2 linked regions of the Diceros bicornis minor genome follow. The protein of the gene in region 2 purifies or fractionates together with the protein of the main gene of each other region. This does not show direct contact. Links are inferred from orthologs where the notes say so. Each region holds a gene or a part of one and is shown on either strand. Other genes may lie near its edges.

The links.
Region 1: the proteins of PPP1CC (region 2) and RPL27 purify together in Homo sapiens (affinity purification with mass spectrometry; 3 studies listed by BioGRID and IntAct, with this or other methods). This does not show direct contact. The link is inferred for Diceros bicornis minor from reciprocal best matches to the Homo sapiens genes PPP1CC and RPL27.

The regions. Positions count from the first base shown.
Region 1 is NC_080757.1:41,955,396-41,965,082, reverse strand, and holds RPL27 (large ribosomal subunit protein eL27), read right to left. Parts: upstream 4,146-9,687; 5' UTR 3,926-4,145; coding exon 3,845-3,925; intron 2,653-3,844; coding exon 2,483-2,652; intron 1,428-2,482; coding exon 1,317-1,427; intron 1,210-1,316; coding exon 1,161-1,209; 3' UTR 1,122-1,160; downstream 1-1,121. Other genes in the region: RUNDC1 (RUN domain-containing protein 1), read right to left, coding at 9,663-9,687.
Region 2 is NC_080774.1:9,195,639-9,205,872, reverse strand, and holds the start of PPP1CC (serine/threonine-protein phosphatase PP1-gamma catalytic subunit), read left to right. Parts: upstream 1-5,853; 5' UTR 5,854-6,003; coding exon 6,004-6,058; intron 6,059-10,234. UniProt on the Homo sapiens protein: Protein phosphatase that associates with over 200 regulatory proteins to form highly specific holoenzymes which dephosphorylate hundreds of biological targets.

The sequences.
Region 1 (9,687 bases), on a different chromosome or scaffold from region 2:
GACACATAAGTACAGGAACTTGTCCAAGATCACACTGATGGGAAGTGAAGTGTTTATCAAAACCGGGTTGGAACAGTATTTGAACTTGGACCTTGAGGCAGAGTGGAAGGAACCTGCTGAATCTTTAGCCAGAGGAAGGTTTAAGTTCAGTTCCATTTGTGACTGTTGAGTAGGCAAGCTCTAACAGGAGTCCACTGCAGTAGAGATGCCCAATACTTAACGGTGAGAGTCAAATGCAACTGTGTAAAAAACAGTGCATATTTTTCTATTATTTTCACTTAGTCCAGGGTTTTTCCACTACGAGGAACTTACTGAACCCCTTTCTCAACAAGCCCCCATCCCAGGTGCAAGTGTGCCAAGTGCAAGGCTTAATAAATAGGCCTGTTTGAATCCTGGGTCCATCTAGTGACTTAGAACCAGCTCAGCTGGAGTGCCTATCTCATCAGTACAACAGGGTCACAGTTAAGCATCTAAAGGTAAAATCCCAGATAGAGAGGCCAAACGCCTTTGCTGCAACACAGTGGTTACAAACCCAGTGCCCAAGCCCCCTGAATCACACTTTCTTGCCAACCTTTGCTAGCCAGGCCATTTGGGGACTTCTCCCTGGCTGCTCTGGGGCTCAGGCTTTTGTCATTGGCACCCATCCCTATTATCTAGAGCAGTTCTCTAGTGTGGTCATGAGCAGCCTCGCATCACCTAAGTTGCTAGAAATTCTGACCCGCTAAATCTAAGTCACAGGGTGGGATGCTGGCACTCTGTGGTTCAATAAACAGCTTCAGGTTAGTGGTTCTCAATCCAAAGCAGCTGATGCCTACTCAGAGGGGCCTTTGGTTTTCACAATGGGGGCGGGGTGGGGGGAGAGTTCTCTTGGTATGTAATGGGCCGAAGCCAGGGATGCTAAACAATCCTGCACCTAAAGATGTCAAGAGCAGCCCTTCTGGGAAAACAGTTATCACACTTTACCTATCAAGGGGCAGCCTATGGGGCTGAGGACAGAAGTAGCCCAAGTCTCACAAAGGCAGATCAAGCCTTTATATTTCCCCACAGCCCCTCATCCTCTACCCAGTGTCTCATCATATGAATGCTCTGCCCCAGTCAATAATACACGCAGCAGGCAGACAGGGATTTTTTGTATTTTTAATGACTGAAACAAAACAGATCTAGAACCGCAGCTTCTGGAAGAACCATTTGTTCTTGCCGGTCTTGTATCTAGAGGGGGGAAAAAAAGACATCAATGAGGAGAGGAACAAGACAAAATTCACTTCAGAGAGAACAGTGAAACCATACCCCAGCATCCACTACCAAAGCCTACTTACCTCTCCTCGAACTTGACCTTGGCCTCTCGTCGGGCCTTGCGTTTAAGAGCAGGGTCTCTGAAGACATCCTTGTTGACGACAGTTTTGTCCAAGGGAATATCCACAGAGTACCTGGGGACAACGGTGGGGAGGTGGGAGCAGCCCACACGCTGGCAGGGCCTTCACCCCCTCCCCACCAAGTACTCCTGTGACATTGGGGTAAGAGGATCTGACCCCATAGAAGCAACCATCAAAAGCTGTGCCGAAGTCCTGATGATACGCTTTGAAAATCTCCAATTTTAAGCGACTCATTTACATAGTTTCAAACCACTGAAAAACTTCACATTTCATTCTCAATTTTCCATTAACTACTCTATTTTTCTATCTAAAAACCATCACTTTATTTGATCTTCTTGACTATGATCATGACTACTGGCTAGCTTTCCGTTTTATTTAGGGTTGTTCAAGTTCTGCTTATGCCTACGCCTATGTCATTATGACAATGCAAAAGCTGACTGGCTAGCTGCCTCAGCCTCACCGCTTTCCAGCAGCTGAGAAACAGCAAATTAAGGTCAACATGCACCCTGAGAGCAAACTTTCAAAGTGCGTGCTGCTGCGTTTTGGCAATTATTGTCCAGGAGTCTCTCTAATCTTGTATTTCCTTAAAACTCTTGTACCAAGATAGTGCATATGCTACACAATACTGTGGAAGGCCAGGAACTAAAGGGCCCAGTGGTTGACTGGAATTAATTGTCGGAAACTTGCTTTCATTTATTTACCACATTTTAAAAAGCCTATAACAACTATCCTTGAGAGTGGAACAGTGGACGACGGCAAGCCAGATCCTATGCCTATGTTTACTGTGGATGGAAACAAATGAAACAATTTTTAATCAACACTTAGAAAATTTTCAGATGAGGAGAGAGACAGATCAAGAACAAGCTTGGAAGAGATTTTTCAATCCTGCTTGGCCAAGTCAGGGAAGTCACTACAGAAAACGACAGGAACAGTTCCAAGATGGATTAAAGAGGCAACACTGAAAACCACAAACACTTTATAAGTGACCAATGGAAAATGATGTCTCTTTCCCACATTGGAGTGGCTACAAGGTTGTCTCCTTATTCAGTAGGGCAGAGAGGGGGGAAAAGAAATCAAGTCACTTGCATTACCATGCTTGAAAGGCTCACCTTGTGGGCATGAGGTGATTGTAGTTATAAACTTTCACAAAAGACTTGATCTTTGACCTCTTGGCAATTTTCTTCTTGCCCATGGCAGCTGTCACTTTGCGGGGATAGCGGTCAATCCCAGCCACCAGGGCATGGCTGTAGGGGCGGTCTGAGGTGCCATCATCAATGTTCTGAATGACCAAGAATGACATTAGTTATTAACCGAATGACTATTTAAACTGTGCTAGATGTAGGGCATGTATAGAAATAGGCCACCCCCAGGTCTCTGAGACCCACTGTTACAAAAACCACACAAAGCAGACATTCTAAGTGCTATGCTAAATGCCCAAAGAGTAGCAGGGATAGGAGTGGTATTCATTCCCACCAGGAAGACTCTGGAAAGCCTCTTGGGAGATAAGAGATTTAAAAGAAACAACAGGGCCGGCCCCGGGGTTTAGCGGTTAAGTGCCTGCGCTCCGCTGCTGGTGACCCGGGTTCGGATCCCGGGCGTGCACTGACGCACCGCTTCTCCGGCCATGCTGAGGCTGCGTTCCACATACAGCAACTAGGAGGATGTGCAGCTATGACATACAACTATCTACTGGGGCTTTGGGGGAAAAAAAATAAATAAATAAAATTATAAAAGAAACAACAGTTAACATTTATGGAGTGCTTGCTGTGTGCCAAGCACTGGTTCTTAGGCCTGTACATCTCTTAACTTCCTCCACGACTGCACTGCTAGTAAGGTAGAGAGGCCCACACTGGCAGCCTAATTCCAGAAGCCAGCCTCACGTGGAGGAAGGGGAAGCAAGGGTGCCCGGTGACCCCACAAAAGCCAAAAGCAGTGGTGTACGTGGCCAGAGCTTAGGGAGATCTCACACGAGGCTACAGAACGCAGGCAGAAGGCAAACAGTGAAGGGCTAGAATATGGTGAGTGACCATTTTGACTAGAAACAACGTCTCCTCTTTGCAGAGTCGTCCCAGCTGCAGCACTTAGTACCTGTTTGACCTCAGGTGAACTACTAACATCTCTAGACTTCATCAGCAGAAAGGAAGTCCCCACGGTTACTGCCAGGATGGACCCGACAACACCCCTAAGGCAGTGCTGGGCACCAAGCAAGCGTTCAATAAACGCTGGCTACTATCATTATTTGAAGCCTCTTTGCTAGAGGACGACTTATGAGTTAGCTGCCCAATTCAACTCACATTTGTTTTTATTTCGCATCTTCCTCTCTCAAAAGCTCTGATGCGCTCACCCCACCACCACTCGCAATGCTCAGTGGGCAATGCCCCCAAACTAGGCCTGGAATTCCAAGCTTGCCCGCCCCCGAAACCGGCCCGATTCCCGGGAGACGAGGGCGCAAAGGCTCGCGAGGCTGGTACCTTTACGATGACCGCTTTGCGTCCGGAGTAGCGTCCAGCCAGAACCAGCACCACCTTCCCGGGTTTCATGAACTTGCCCATTTCTGCAGAAACGAAGGAGAAGGGGCCGCTCAGAAACCCGCAAGCTGAGGCTGTGGTCCGGAAACTTCAGGCTGCCCTCACCGCCGTCTTGGCCCAGGCTGCTTGCGGACCCTGCTCGCAGAATGGGATCTGTTACGAAGCCGCCAGACACCGAGGAACGGAAAGCACCCAGCGCTGCCCCGCCACTCGACCCCGAGGCCGCGGATGGCGGCGGATTGGAATACCCTGGGCAAGACTCTACTCACCAACAGCAACCACCCGAATCTACCGCAGAAAGGAAAAAACGATATTTCCGCTAACCTTTCACCCCGGGAGAGGGGATCTCACTTCCGGTTCCGCCCCTTAGGTCTCGCCCCGCCTTTTGCGCGGCGCTCAGAGTCTGTGTTGTGGGCGGAAGAAGCTCCTGAGGGGAAAGCAGAGCCTGGCGGCTGATTTATTCAAATCAAACTTAACTAGCAGCTCTACCAGTAGACAAGAGCAAAGAAGTCCTGTCTCCCGCGTTGGGAGGGAAGAGGAAGGAAAGCTTGTGTGTCCTGCTGCTCCACTGCCCCCTTGGTTGTAGTTCCTTTCTTTGGCGCCAGGAGGGGGACACAGTTTGAAATTTACTTTTTTGCCTTGGAAGAGTCAGGGAACAAAATAGGACATTTATTAGTTCCTACCTTGTGCACTGTTAGACGTAAGGAGGGAGAGAAGAAGATCAATCAAACAAGGGTACTTGCCCCTAACATTTAGAGTCTGATGATGTCGTAGACATTACTGACTAGAATAAGCAGTGAGGGAGGTGAAGGACGATGACGGTGATAATGGCAGCTGCTTACCCTGTGCCAGGCCGAGTTAATCTACTTACGTATATCATCTCATTTGATCCTCATAACAACACTACGAGATAGGTACTATTATCTCCATTCTACAGTTGAAGAAACTGTGGCTTAGAGAGGTTAAGTGATTTGCCCAAAGTCCACAGCTAATAAGCGGTGGAGCTGGGACTCTGACTCAGGCAGTCCTCCGGAGCCCATACTGTTTACTCCGTCACCATACTGGGCACCTGCTCTGTGCCAGGCAAGATGCTAGGCACTTCAGGTAAGTCGACAGCCTACTTAATTCTCACAACTCTGCATCGTGGGTATTTTCCTCCCATTTAGCATGAGGAAATTGAGATTCAGAGAGGATAAGTTACCTATCTGGGATTGAGCCTGATCAGTAGCATAGGTGGGATTCAAATCTAAATTTGAACCCAGATTTAGTTGGCTCTTAAACTGAATTATTTCCCATCACTCACTGGAAGAGTGTTTTTAGATGGCTCTTTAGGTGTCTTCCAAGTTCAAGAGAAAGAAAAAGCCCATCTGAACATTGAAGAATCTGTAGGATTGGTCTTGGGCAAGATGTGAGAACAGTCAGGGTTTCATCAATTCTCTTCTTGACGCTCTCCGAGGACCAACTTTCCCTGCAGCCCTCAGGAGCCTATTCCAATGGTTTATCACCCTAATTATGTACTTATATTTATATATTCAATTAAAATATTCTCTGCTTTAATTTGGAATATGACATTTTAGAGTTGGAAGAGACCTCCGAGATCATCTACTCTGGCCTCTCAAAGATGAGAGGACAGTTCTAGAGCAGCAAAGTCACAGGGTTGGTGGTGCAGGGCCAGGCCTCCCCATTCCCAACTCAGTCACTACACCACACTGCTCTGTCCATTTCCACTTCCATAGTCTTCTCCCAGGCTCCATATCTGCTTCTGCCTCTTTTGCTGTTTCTCTCTTGGAAAATAGAAACCAAACCCTGAAATCTTATAATTGCCTTGGACTCTTCTCACAAACTAAAGCTCTCCAAATCAAATTAGTAACTAAATCCTGTGAATTTTACCTTGTCTTTTTTTTTGAAGAAGAAGATTGACCCTGCACTAACATCTGTTGCCAGTCTTCCTCTTTTTCTTTTTTCTCCCCAAAGCCCCAGTACATAGCTGTAGAGTTGTGGCTCTTCTATGTGGGACACCGCCTCAGCATGGCTTGATGAGTGGTGCGTAGGTCTGCACCCAGGACCTGAACTGGCAAACCCTGGGCCGCTGAAGCATAACGCGCAAACTTAACTGCTGCACCACCAGGCCAGCCCAGTCTTATGTCTTTTAAATTTTCTTTTCTATCCTTTTCCACCTGCTCTGATCCAGTCTCAGTTCTTTTTCTTCTCCAGTCCCTCCTCCAACTTTTGTGTGGGTCAGAATTTCTTGGGTTGCTTATTAAGGATGCATCTCCAGTCCAAGAGATTCCAATTCAGGTCTGGAGTGCAGCCCAAATAAAGATCTATAGATCTTATTTTGAGAAACTTCTCTAAACACAACTCTTAAGTCCACCACTTATCTGCTTGAAGTCCTTCATTGGCTTTCTGTACCAAGGTTTGAACTCTCACTCCTTTCCTTTCTACCTTTCCTTCAGTTCCTGTGACGCCTCCATACCCTTCACATACCCTCTGGGTTCCAGCTAGCTCAACTGCGCAGAGATCCAACTTCTTCTGAGCCCTGGGGTCTTTACCCAGGCTGTTTCATGTGACTTTATTCTTCTCTTCCACCGCAGCTAGGCAAAATCCTATCCAAATCCCATCCATCCTTCAAGGCCGCTCCAGAATTCTCCCAGGCAGAATTAATTTCTTCCTTCTGTGTTCCCTCAGCAATCCAAGCCGTACTTACCTTTATTATAAAACATCTTAGTTGGTTTGGATCAATGGTTCTGAAAGTGGTCCCCAAACCAGCAGTATCAGCAAAACCTGGGTACTTGTTAGAAATGCAAGTTCTCAGGCCCCACCCCAGAGCTAATGAATAAAAAACTCTAGGGATTTGACCCAGCAATTTGAGTTTTAGCAAGCTACCCAAACCTCCAATTGGTTTGCTATCTCTTGAGCTAGATTGTGTTCCTTGAGGGCAGGGAGTATGTTTTACTCCTCTCTTTCCTCAGCATCCAGCCTGGCCCAGACAGTTGGTAGGCCCTCAATAATGAATGAATGAATGCAGAGCACCTTAGAAATCTTTAACAATGCTTTGCAGATAATACTTTTACAACAGACCCTGAACTTTCATTGGATGCGTATCCATGACTTTTTCATTCTATTCTTGCATATCCTTAGACCTGGGCTGACTGTTCCTCCTCTCCTCCCTCGTCCTGTCTGCCTCACCCCAAGCCAAGGACAGAGCTCTGTCCTCAGTTATGATGCAGATGCTATCAGTGACTAGCAGGTATCTGACTGTTGGGATGCTGGCAGGATTGTCTCTGTCTCTACAAATCTTTAAGTTTCATGAAGAACTTGGCAGAGCAATGGCTATCTGCCCATCTCCCTGCAGCCTAGTCCTTTGGCAGCTGAAATTTCTGGCAGGTATGTGGAAAATACCTTCTCTTCCCCAAAGTGATGGCAGAGTGACAGGGTGGATAAAGGAGAGAGAGGAACAAAAGATTTAGAAGCAGCATGATACAGTGAGGTAACATGATAGAGTATAAAGCTCATAGGATTGGTATTCTGGCAACCCGAGTTCAAACCCCAGCTCTTCCATCATGTAAACCTGGACAAAATGTTTCACTTCTCTGCAGCTCAGTTTCCTGAGCCAGAAAATGGGGCTAATATTGTCCTGCCTTACAAGTAGTAAGAATTACATTAGGATGACACAAACAAAAATGCTTCCCATGACGCTAGCACAAAGCTTTCGTGCAAATTAGTTTCTGTGAGGATTAGAAAAAAATAATACTGGGGTGATCCAGGGCTCTGCCATATGACTATAGCAGTTACTACCCACCCTAAATGATATCCAGACAATGGATCTAAAAGTGCCAATTCCAAAAGTGGCATGTGTGGTGACATCTGCTGTGGGGATGGGACTGTAGGACTGAGCGAGATGGGATGATAATGCCAAGGGTGCTTTTTTTGTGTGTGTGTGTGAGGAAGATCAGCCCTGAGCTAACATCCATGCTAATCCTCCTCTTTTTGCTGAGGAAGACCAGCTCTGAGCTAACATCTATTGCCAATCTTCCTCCTCCCCCCGCCCCCCCCAAAGCCCCAGTAGATAGTTGTATGTCATAGTTGCACATCCTTCTAGTTGCTGTATGTGGGATGCGGCCTGAGCATGGCTGGAGAAGCGGTGCGTCGGTGTGCGCCTGGGATCCGAACCTGGGCCGCCAGTAGCGGAGCGTGCACACTTAACCCCTAAGCCACGGGGCCGGCCCGAGGGGCGCTTTTTTAGCGAATTTTTTCAGGGAGAAAAAACCACCACCAAAGCTGAGTTGATCCAGGGCAGGGGGCAGAGAAAAGGCAGAAAGGCCAGGGGCCAGACATTGCTCGAGGAAATACTGATCTGGATCAAATGGGCTGATAATACCCAGAGAGATATATAAACCAAAGCCAAGGGTCTCTAAGGTCTTTGCAGAGAAGCTACACAAAATATTATGATTTTATTGGCAACCACAGATAGATCATTTTTACACCTTACACTTATCCTGTTTCACACAGGACTAATTATAATGAACTATCAATAATACACCTTAAATAACATGTTGTGAAAAAAATTAAGTTAAAATGCACTACATAACAGTGCAGACACAAAGTACAGCTGGCTATTTAATACATGAAACAATGCTGAATCAGTAGTGTTGGGAGCCCATTTGGTCTTCCAGAAAGTGATACACTTTGCCCATCTTTGGTCAGTCCTGGAGCAGTATGCAAGCTGAATTACAAATATGAACTAAAAAGGCTAAAATACTGAAGATCAAATAGGACCACTCTAGAGTGAGTTTTACAATGAAATGCCCAGCCCCTTGTCTGCCAACAGTGATCTGCTGTAGTCCCTCTCCCTGCTGTAGTACCTATCGCATGATCAGACCTCCGCCATCATCCAGCCTGCCGGACAAGTAGAATCACAACCCCAGGAGGAGTCACAGCTGGTCACCGATGTCCAAACTTGACTCAGGTGGCAAGGGTTCTCTCAAGGAGCATACTTTTAACACATTCACTCCTGAGTAGATTGTCAGCGTCTTGTTGGCAGTTGTACAGAGGGAAGGTTACTTGCCAGAGGACATGGTACTAGACAATGGTTGTCATTCCTCATAAATAACCAGCTCCAAAACCAAAAGACCATCATCTGTGCCCTAAGAAGAGGACCACCTTGTCAGGAAGAGATTTCAGTTCTTACCTCTACATGAAAAAGGGCTCATATTAAAATCAACTTGTGGTTAACACTCTTAGAAGTGCTGTTCGCAGATAGTCCCATTCCCAGTTTTAGAGGCAGCTATGGAACATACACAGCCTCCCCTGACCTTGGCTCCCAATTTAAGTAACAGAAGCCTCAAGTCGAATGTCTTCCAGGACCAATAACTCATGTTGTCACTCACAGCCATAAAGAGAATGGTTAGAGAAACTTGGGTTTCCTAAAAATCAGATGTGGCATGATGAGTTGGTGCATTAACGGTGTGTCATGACTGATTCCTTTTACATAGGCTCAAATATATGTGCCCGCAAATACACTGTGGTTACACACCAGGGCAGAATCTTTTAACAAGAGGGTCTCTAGCATTGCTTTTTTCTCCCCACACCTCCCAGCACTTCTTTCTGAGATGCTAAGTTGGTGGGGAAAGCAGACTTTGCAGTCCTTTGGCCAGGGAAAATGTCTGTAACCCCTCCTCTCACTCCTTACTCCTATCCTAGAAGACTAACCATCTGTCTCTACTGAGCCAGGTGCTGGTCTAGGGCCAGGGCATTCTCATCAAAAGGCATCTTTGATGTTCTTG
Region 2 (10,234 bases):
TACAGAGAGAGAGGAAACAGACTGGTGGGTGGCCAGGAGTTGGGAGGAAGGAGGAATGGGGAGTAACTGCTAATAGGTTCTTTTGGGGGTGATGAAAATGTTTTGAAACTAGATAGAGGTGATGTTTGCACAACATTGTGAATGTGCTAAATGCCACTGAATTGTACACTATAAAATGGTTAGTGTTATGTTACGTGAATTTCATCTCAATTCAAAAAGAGGGGGAGGGCTTGTGCCTCTCAGAGTGAGAGGAGAAAGTTAAACAAGAACAGGTGTGCAGATCTCCCCGCACTGTGCCTCCCCGATACCATTATTGCTCAAAGTGCCATCTCCCCATTGTGGGAGAGGGTGGGGCTGGGCTCATCGAGCAGTTTCACCTACTAAGCCAAGTTAGTGACTTGCTCAAGGCCACGCAATGAGTCATGTGCGGACTCTGGGCTAGAACTTGGCTTTTCCAATCTGTGAGTCCCGAACACGTTCTCTCCATGCTGCTTCTCCTACTTGATACTAGAACGGCACTTTACAGTTTATGAAATATTTCCTCCCACATGATTTTCTAACACCCCTGGCTTCAGAGGCTCAGCATAGCCAGGTAGTTAGAGAGCATGGCCTCTGGTGTCAGACGAATCTGGGTTCAAATCCAGGCTCTGTCACTTCTTAACTGTGTGTCTTTGGGCAAGTCATCTAACCTCTGCGAACCTTGGTTTCTCCAACTGTAAAATGGGAATAATGACTTACTCTATGTATAAAGTAGGAACAAAGCTGGCAGATAGAAATAAAGCAAGAGTGAGGTCAATGCCTAGCACACAGTAAATACCGAATAAATGACGGCTGTTAGTATTAGTACTCAAAGAAGCTACCCTGGCAAAGCACTTAACACATAGGGTTAAGGGTGACAGAACGAAACAATTTCAGAGCCACCTTGCCGCACGCCCCAAGTGCTCCAAAGCAGTGGTTCTTAACTGGGGTGGGGAGAGTAATTTTGACCTCCCAGGGGACATGTGGTGGTGCCTGGAGACATCTTTAAATGTCACAACTGGGGAGGGGGGCTGTGCTACCCCTAGTGGGTGGAGGTCAGGGATGCTGCTAACCCCCTACAGCCCACAGGCAGCCCCACAACAGAGAACCATCTGGCCCAGACTGTCAGTGGAGCCCAGGATGAGAGACCCCGCTCTAAACTTAGCCTCCCTGTGCCAGACTTAGCTCCAGACGACAGTGCCATCCACCCTCCAGATACCAGGACAGCTTGCTGCTTTCCCAACCACGGGGTGAGTCATTTCATGAAGCTAAGGAACATTTAGCAAGGCGATAATCACCGTAATTTCCCTGTTGGGTAAGTCCAGATGGAAGTATATTTGGGGCCTTCTCAAAGACAGACACACCCAACATCAACAGACTCCATGGGGACCAAGGATGGTTCAAGAGATTTTGAAAGACCCGTCTAAATCCTCTTCCTCGGAGAAGGCTTCTGGGAACATTCCAGAGAATCTGCTCTCCCTGATCATGCATGAAAGGCATGAGCACAGAGACTGGCATCCAGTAAGCACTCAATAAATGCTAGCTATTATTATTATCATCATCATAGTCATTGTCCTCTTTATTACTATCTCCCCAGCTACATGCTCACGATAGCCTGAGATGGGTGATATTGTCCCCAGTCTGTAGGTGAGGAAACTGAGGCTCAGAGCCGTGATGCCACATTTGCCATCAGCCCCTCCCAACCTCACAGCTTCCACTCCTGCTCACCTATAGTCCCTTCTCCTCACAGACAGCAAAGGGCTCTTTCAAAGAGGAAATCAGATCTTATTTAGGAGAAGACGCTCTGTGGGTAATGATGTTATGTGATATTCTACGATCCAAAACTTCTTTATGATTTAAGAGTCTTGAAAAATTAAGAGCAATGCCACAGTGGTGTAAGATGTTACCATCAAGGGGAAACTGAGGGAAAGGTATATGGGAACTCTTTGTACTCTCTGTGCAACTTCTCCATAAATCTAAAATTATTTCAAAATAAAAAGCTTATTTAAAAAACTAATTAGATCATGTTACTCCTCTGCCTAAACCCTATAGTAATTTCCCATTAGGCTTAGAATATACTCTGAATGTCTTCCCGTGGCCACCAAGTGGTCTGGCCTTTGCCCACTTCTTCAACTTCCCCTCCTAACACCCTCCCTCTCACACAGCACTCCAGCCACTCTGGCCTTCTCTCCATTCCTCCAACTCTGGAAGATTATTCCTACCTCAGGGCCTTTGCACTTGCTGTTCCCTCTTTTGGGAATACTCTTCTGCTACGTAGTTCTTCCCAGGACTTTGCCTTTTCTCATCCTTCAGATCTTGACTCAAATGTCAAATCCTCAGAGTCCCTCTTGTCTGTGTTCACATGACCCCTTCTGATTCTCTCATAAAACTCACCACTCTCTGACATTATCTTCTTTAATTGGTTTCTCTGTTCCTATCTGTCTCCTCCACTAGACCAAGAGTTCCATGAGGGCAGGGACTATGCTGGTTTGCTCACTGCTGTGTCCCCAGCTTCTCATACAGAGTAAGGCCTCAATGAACATTTGCCAAGAGAGTACCAGCGTCTGCTGGTAATACCACAGGACGTTGAAATAAAGCTGTGGACTTTGTCAAAGGGCTTTCATCCACATTTTTTCCCATGGTTCCCTACTTTGTACAAAACCTCCAGAATACCCAGGTAGGTCCAGATTTGCTGACAAACCTTATCAACACCATTTCTTTGAATCATTTAACAATAATCCTAATGTTCATTAAATTTGGAAAAGGGAGGAGGAAGAGTTCACCCCCAACCTTCTAGAACAGAGCCCAGATATGCTTTGTTGGCCTCACACAGTATTTTAGAAGAATTTTGAGTTCATGACGAACTTTTTAAAATGGAAACATTTCACATAAAAATCCGTATGTTCAAGTTCTCCTGACAACTCAGAGGATCTGGCCACACTGGGCCCCAGTTTCCCACACGGCCCCAGTGGACTGAAAATGGGAAGTGGCCACTCCTTAGATGAGACTTGCGCTCTCCAGTTCACCACAGTACCTATCCACCTAGCTTAATTTTTTCATGCTATCCGCCTGGTCCCTTTAGTCACTGGGATTCCCCTCAAAGCCTAAAGTATCCTTAGAAATACTATTGTTTCACAAATATTTTAGCCACAGCCTCCATCTTCAAATTGTACATGGAAGGTCAATGTCTAAAACAGATAGTAGCAATAATAGTTAATATTGATGGAGTGCTTTCTGTGTGCCATGCTTCTGTTCGGTTGACTTGAGGGGTTGGGGACCAGAACCCCATCGGCTCCCCAGCATCTTCAGCGGCTCCCTAAGAAAGCTCTGTGGATCCAAGGAAGACAGTTCGAAAAGTACATTTTAATCCATTCTCCTCCTTTTACAGATAGGCAAACTGAGGCCTAGAAAGGGGAAAGGACATTCCACCGGGTAGACAGTAGCCTTTCTGGCAAATGCTTGTCTGCTGGTCCTTAGGGAGGCCACTAGTGTCAATAATGGCAGGAAAAGGCCAACAGGGGATCAGTTCTTTCCTCCGAGTTGTGTGCTGGTGCCTGGGAGCTGATCAGGACTACCCTCTGGGCTCACACCTCTCTCAGGCCCAGAGCCAGCTAATTCACTTAGGCACGTGCCAGCAAAACTGGACTCTGGAGTGGAGTAGCCCAGGGGAGAATGGTGTGTGAACAGAGGCCCTCCCCATGTCCCAGTCCTGTCTGAATTCCTCCGCCAGCCCTGATGGTGTCAACAGATGGTAACATACCTGCGATTTTGTATGGAAAATTACAGTGCTCTTCCTGTGGGTAGAGACACGCGGAGATCGTTCCACTGGGTTCCACATTTGTTCTGTGTCTAGTGTGTGCCAGGGTTGTGCTAGGTGCTAGGGATTCACAACCGTGATGTATTACATATGAACACAGGCTTTTGTTTCTGGCTGTCCTGAGTTCCAGCCCTGGCTCCGTAACTCACTAGCTGTGTGACCTTCAGCAAACAACCCAGCCTCTCTGCCTCTCACTTTCTTCATCTGTAAAATGGGTGTGATAGGAATAGGACATAGTTCCTAGGATTGTCTTGGGATAATTTTTGTCACACACTAAGACAATGAGTGCGGTGTTTTTTTTTTCCACCGCACTTATCAGAAGCTGATATTTTTATTTGCGTCTTTGTTTATTGTCTGTCTGGCTTACTAGAGAACTCTCCATGAGAGAAGGGCCTTGTCTATCTTGCTCACCCTTGCTTCTCCGCCTAGAACAATGCCTGGCACAGAGTAGGGGCTCCATAAATATTTGTCTGCTGAATGAATCTCTGTCTTTCATATTGCTGCTCTAACTGACTTTGCCATGATGCGGCCTGCTCGGGAGGAGCCCAAAGTCTCCCTGACTCCGGCAGAGCCACCCCGACCTTGACAGCCAGCCGTTCACAACAGCCCTGGGCATCGGCTCCGGATCAACTGGGCTCCGTGCCCAGGGCTGACAAGCGACACTTGTGTTTCTTCTGGTGGACAGAGCTGCAGCACGGGAGAGCGAGGTGGCGACCGGGGACAGTGGAGTGAGCCGCTCCGCCGCGCAAGGGGAGCCCCGGACCTCAACGCCCCGCACCCGCAGCAAGGAGCCCGCACCCGGCCCAGGCCGCCCCCGAGGATGGCTGCCCCGGTGGCGCAATCACCTCGATGGCATTCAGGGATAGGAATTCGTGCATCCTGTGCACCTTGAGAAACAAAACTAATTTCTCTGGGAAGGGAAAGGGCTTTGCAAACTGTAAAGCGCTGCAGGAAAAAAACCACATAAATGAAAAGGTCAGGAAGAGAGCAGATGTGTTTGCTGAGTGCAGGCTGCACTTCCAAACCCAGCTGAAGGCGACGCGCAGCCCCGGAGGTGGCACACTGGGGGACCTCCCGGAGAGGGATGCACTTGGAGGGCCAGGGTTTCCCCGCGTGTCTGCAGAAGCCAGGACCCGCCCGCGCTGTCTGCTCCTGCAAACTCGCTCCGCTCTCGCGGCCTCGAGCTGCGGCGCGCGCAATCTGCAAATTCTGCCTTTCTCTGCTGCACACGCTCGTTCACCTTTGTTCTGGCTAGAATCAGGGTAACTGTTCCGACGATTATATAACCTCCCGAGTTCAAGAGAGATAACCCCAAGATAAGGATGATGAAATTATTTTTTGAGGGTGAATTTAAAAAAATGTTTCTCCAAATGTAAAAGTTGCAGAAGCGCACAAAAGAATACATACAGATACCCATATTCCCACCACTCAGAATAAATGTTCACATTTTGATTTATCTGGGACAGGTCTTTTTTTTTTTAGTAGTAACCAAATAAACTTTTCCCTTCCCGCAAGTCCCGGCAAATCTGAATTCAAAATAAATCAACCCACTGCCCTCTATTCTCCCACTCCATCTTCACCCCAGATGTATCTTAAAGGGTGAACTCCAGGACCCCCGAATTCCCTCAGTGCGCTTCCAGACGGCCAGGTCTGCAAACATCTGGCCCCAACGAGCAGCGTCCGGCGAAGGCCGCCACCCTCGGAACGCACAGCGGCGTTTTCTCCCCGGTCCCCAACTCCCGCGTGCAACTTTGCTACTCACGCTCCCGCCAGGGGGCCTATTTGCTCGGCCCGTTTGGCGGAAGGATCCCGCGCGCGGTCGCGGTTACGCTCAACCGTCTCCTCCCCCTCCCCGCGCCCTGGCCCCGCCCCCTCCCGCGCGCCCTATGGCCCATAAAGAAGTCCCGGCCGGGCCGCTGCACTCCCCCGCGCGCATCCGTGCGCCGCCCGAGGCTGGCTCAGGAGTCGGCGGCCATCTTGTTCTTCTCGTGGTTCCAGTGGGGAGAGAAGGAGGAAGCAGGGAGCGGGGCGGTTGGGGGGGGACCCGCCGCGGCTGCTGCCACCGCCGCCACCACCGCCTCTGTGCTCGTGGCGTGGGAAGGGAGGTGTGAGTCCCGGGCGCGAGCCGGCGGCGGCGCCGCTGCGGGAGGGTCTGCGGCGGGAAGGCGATGGCGGATATAGATAAGCTCAACATCGACAGCATCATCCAACGGCTGCTGGAAGGTGACGGCGGCGGCGGGCGGCCCGGGGCTCGCGGGGAGGGGAGTTGGGGGCCGGTGGGGCTTGCGGCGCCGAGGAGGCTGAGCACGGCGAGTTGGGCTGCGGCCGGAGGGAGGCGGCGGGTCGCGCTCGGCCGGCCGGGGACCCTCGGACCCCGCTCATTCATTGCCCGGGTGCAGCCTCCCTGCTGGCCGGGAATTGGGCAACTCCGCTGCCCACTCGCTCGCTTCCGGGCCGTACCCCCTGCGCCCCGCGGCCCGGGCCGGTCCAGCCCCCGGACGGAGCGTCCCGCACTTTGTGGTCCTCGTCCTCTGCGAGAGCGGTCGGGGGGGGGGGGGGAGCTTCGTCCCCATCTCGCTCGGTTTTATTTTTTGTGGGGCTGGGGTCGGGGGGCCCACTTTGGTACTTGGTGACGAACGCTCCTGTCTCAAGGGGATGTTGGAACCCACCTGCCCCTGCCCTTCCAGATACTCTTTCCGAGTTGCCCCTGTCTTGAGATCTCCGCGCTCTTTTCTGAACGTGAAACCGGCGAAGATGACAGTTTCGTTCTCGTCTTTGCAACGTGCCAGGCTCTGTGTTAGCGCTTTGCGTTCATCGCATCGTTAAGAAGATAATAATAGCGCTTCTAAAGCGCCGTATGTCAGGCATTTTTTGAGCACTTTACACAGATTTCACTTAGTTCTGTCTGCAACCTTGCGAGGTTATTTTTTCCTGTTTTTCAGAGGAAACTAAGACGCAGGTGAAGTCACTTGTCCAAGGTCACACAGTTAGTGACAGTCAGGGTTCAGATCCAGGCAGCCAGCAGCTAGAACTCCTTCATCTCACCCTGTGTGTGAAGGAAGGAGATCTCCAGTGGTTAGGCAGAGGTCAAGTTAGAGCTTTCGTTCTGGCTGATTTAAGACTCGTGCGGTGCCTCGTAGTGATGCGGGGGACGGATGAAGTTCGGATTATGGAGAGGGGCGCTGAACCTAACTGCCCCCGGTTCCCGAGCCGCTCTGCTGATGCGAACGTCTTATTCGGAACTCGGGAAGAATTCAGATCCCTTTCTTGGTTTGGGCACTGAATAATGTAGATTTGACTGAATATTCACTGCCTTTTGCCTTTCTACTGTCCTAAATATTGTCGGAACAGAAATGCTGTGAGACGGAGTCGAGAGCGTTCACAGTTGGACAGCTGTGTCCTTAGAATTTGCAGATCTTTTGAAATAAGTTATTAAAATGAAACTCCTGAAAATATCTTTTCTTTATCTGTACAGGTTTTTTTCCTTTTATATTTTCTTGAAAGAAAAGAAGAACCCACTGAATGTACCCCTGAAATGCTCTTGAAATGTTGCTGCCATTTGTGGGTGAAAACCTTGTCATTCGTTCAGGAGCTGGCATTTATTATAAGAACCACACTTTTCACACTAGTTAATACAATTCTTTGATTTAGATGAGGCAGAAGTGGGTCTGAAACTGATTAAAACTATTTGCAATAAGAAAAGAACTTTTTATTAAATATTTTTATTTTAAACTTTTTAATTAGCTTCTGTGTCTCTGTGCAGGGATATGTATTGCTAGATTAGGGTAGGCTTTATTTCACTGAGAAACAGGAAAAATTGGATTCTGCATGGATTAGAAACATTACAGTTTTAAGATTAAAGTCTTGTTAAGTTTTGAGTTGCCCATAACTGTATTCGTGTAACAAATTTGGTTAATTTTGATCTTATTTTTTTCAATTGTGCTAAGGAATTTCCCTTGATAAACTTGGATCATATAAAAAATGAGATCTGTCATTGTTTCTTAATAGTTTCTCTCTATACGTGTTATGTTGCACTTGAAAAGCAGGTTTTTTTATATTTCATTTTTCATTGAAATTAATATAATAAAGCTGTGCATTTTCATGCCTTGGGAAAGGCTAGGTACACAATATACTTAAACTCCTTTTTTTCTCATCAGTGTTAAATTGGCAGAGAAATGGTTGAAGATGATCCATTGAGGATGTGTATATATCCAAGTTAGAAGATGTTGATCATAAATTCATGATTTTTGTAATGCCCCAAAAACCTTTTTCCCTAAAAATTTTTATTAAGATTTAAGTATATCTGAAAATGGAGAGAATGTGAGTTTTGTGACCTTGTTAGACTTTTTTACGTGTTCAAAATTGCCTCGTCTTCAAGTGGAGGACCGACCGTACAAGCTAGTTGAGAAGCAGCTCAGTAAGAGTACTAAAAAGCAACTCAAAGGCTTATTTAAGAAAGGTTTAGATTTTAGTCACTACAGCTTTGCGATTCTTTTCTGCTCTAAACTTTTAGTTTTTCCTCAACTAAAGGCGAGGCAACCCCTCCGCAACCCACCTTGGGAGCTTTTAACCAAGCTCTGCCTTGCTGAGGAGAAAACCCTAAGGTTGTTACTCCTTCATATAATTAATGTTCAGTTATTTCAGTAACTACACAGTAAAACTTGGGCGATTTAGAGAGAAAGTAAGCCAGCTGTTGATTTGGTCTGATATTCCTACACTGTTGGAGAAGAGTGAGATTTGGGGCAGTTTTACTTTGTAAGTGACCTTGTTCGGAGAGCACCGATGGCCGGCACTTTTCTTGCAAAGCAGGCGGTTGTAACTTACTTCACGTCCTGATTTGCAAGATGCCTCTTTGCTCTGAAGGTGACCATTGTCAGACTGCAAGACCATGCCAGGCTCTGCATAATCCTTGACTTGCCGGCCCTCGAACGTGTTTACTGATTTAATCCTCTGATCTGTAAGAGTTCATCTGAAGATAGTGAGTGTTGAAATGTTCTGAAAGTCTAAAATTGTTCGGGTAACCCATGTGCTTTTTAAAAGCTGAAGCTTTTTGGTGTAACGTGAAACAAGTTTATTTTCTAATGTTAAAATGACAGCAGTCTCTGGTCCTGAAGATAATAAGGGACAAACATAATGGCAAAGAAAAAAGTTCTTAAAATGCTGACCAAGGAAAACAAAAGTAATCTTTCCTAGTGAGACCTCTGCAATTGTTTTTTCTTTATACGCCTGATAATTTTAACAATTAGAGGCTTTTCTTGGGATCAGTTACCATAGGGCATTTTGTTCATAAAGACTGATATTAAAGTTGTGTGTTACTAATTCCTTAATTTAACAAGAAGTCTGTGGTGTGAGCCCCCTGCTCTTCCCTCCCCTCCCGCGTCAACTGTGTGCCGCATCCTTTCCTGTGATGTGAGACAGAAAAGCTCTTTTGGAGACAGATCTGCAGCTTGCACCAGTCCTAAACCACAGCAGGGAAAGGCTTGGTCTCCTTGTGCCGGCAGTCCCCCTGGCCCGTCAGGAGCAGGGGGCAGCAGTGAAATCCTTAGAACAGGATGGTTTGTGTCCTTCTGTTGTGCTTGAGAGAACGTTCGCCAAAGGCGCCGAGGCCAAGCTTTCCTCCTCCGCGTTGGGAAATGGAGGCAGTGCCGGGCCATGCATTAGTAGTCTGTCCACGGTAGAGTGGTGAAACTGTTTTCTGTCTTTGAGACTGCGGCCCTGTAATGACCTGCAACCTGTTCTGCAAAATCATGTGCCAGTGCTGGTCAGTCCGCTTGTCTTGTTAGGGTTGCAGAACTTGAAGCAGGGAGCTGATTGATAGTATGTGGACTTAGCCATTTCACTTCATTTACAGTCTACTGTTGGTAGACCTTAAAGATTGAGATGTGAAGGAGATAGTACTCTGATGTGAATTGCTCTGTGAATGAGGAACTTGGCAAGTCTTATTCAAGAGGAGTAAGGCAAGATTCCATCTCTTTGGAGTTCACAGAATTCTGGGACAAATTTTTATGTTTTAGGATCAGACCTCTGTATCCAAAGCACATAAGAACAGGTGATTTACCTAGGGGTCTTGATGACTTCCCTGAAGTCTCCAATTTCTCCACTCCTCTAGGGTTTACTGGCATCCCTTGTAAAGAGGGGAGTGGGTGTCACTGACTTTAAGGCTTACGAAAATGAAAACAACTCATAAAATGTAGGGGCAGATGTTGAGTCTGAGCAGTGGTATTTTATCAAAATGGGTGGTTAGACTGTGGAAAGTTAAACATTTCTCAATAAATTGGCTTCACTCTAGGTGTAGAAAACTCAAGATTCTTTATTGAGGGCGGTAGACAGTGTTTTGCAGGTATATGCTGACTATCTGCCTTGAGAAAATTGGTATTGCCTTTAAATGCCCAAAGTAGA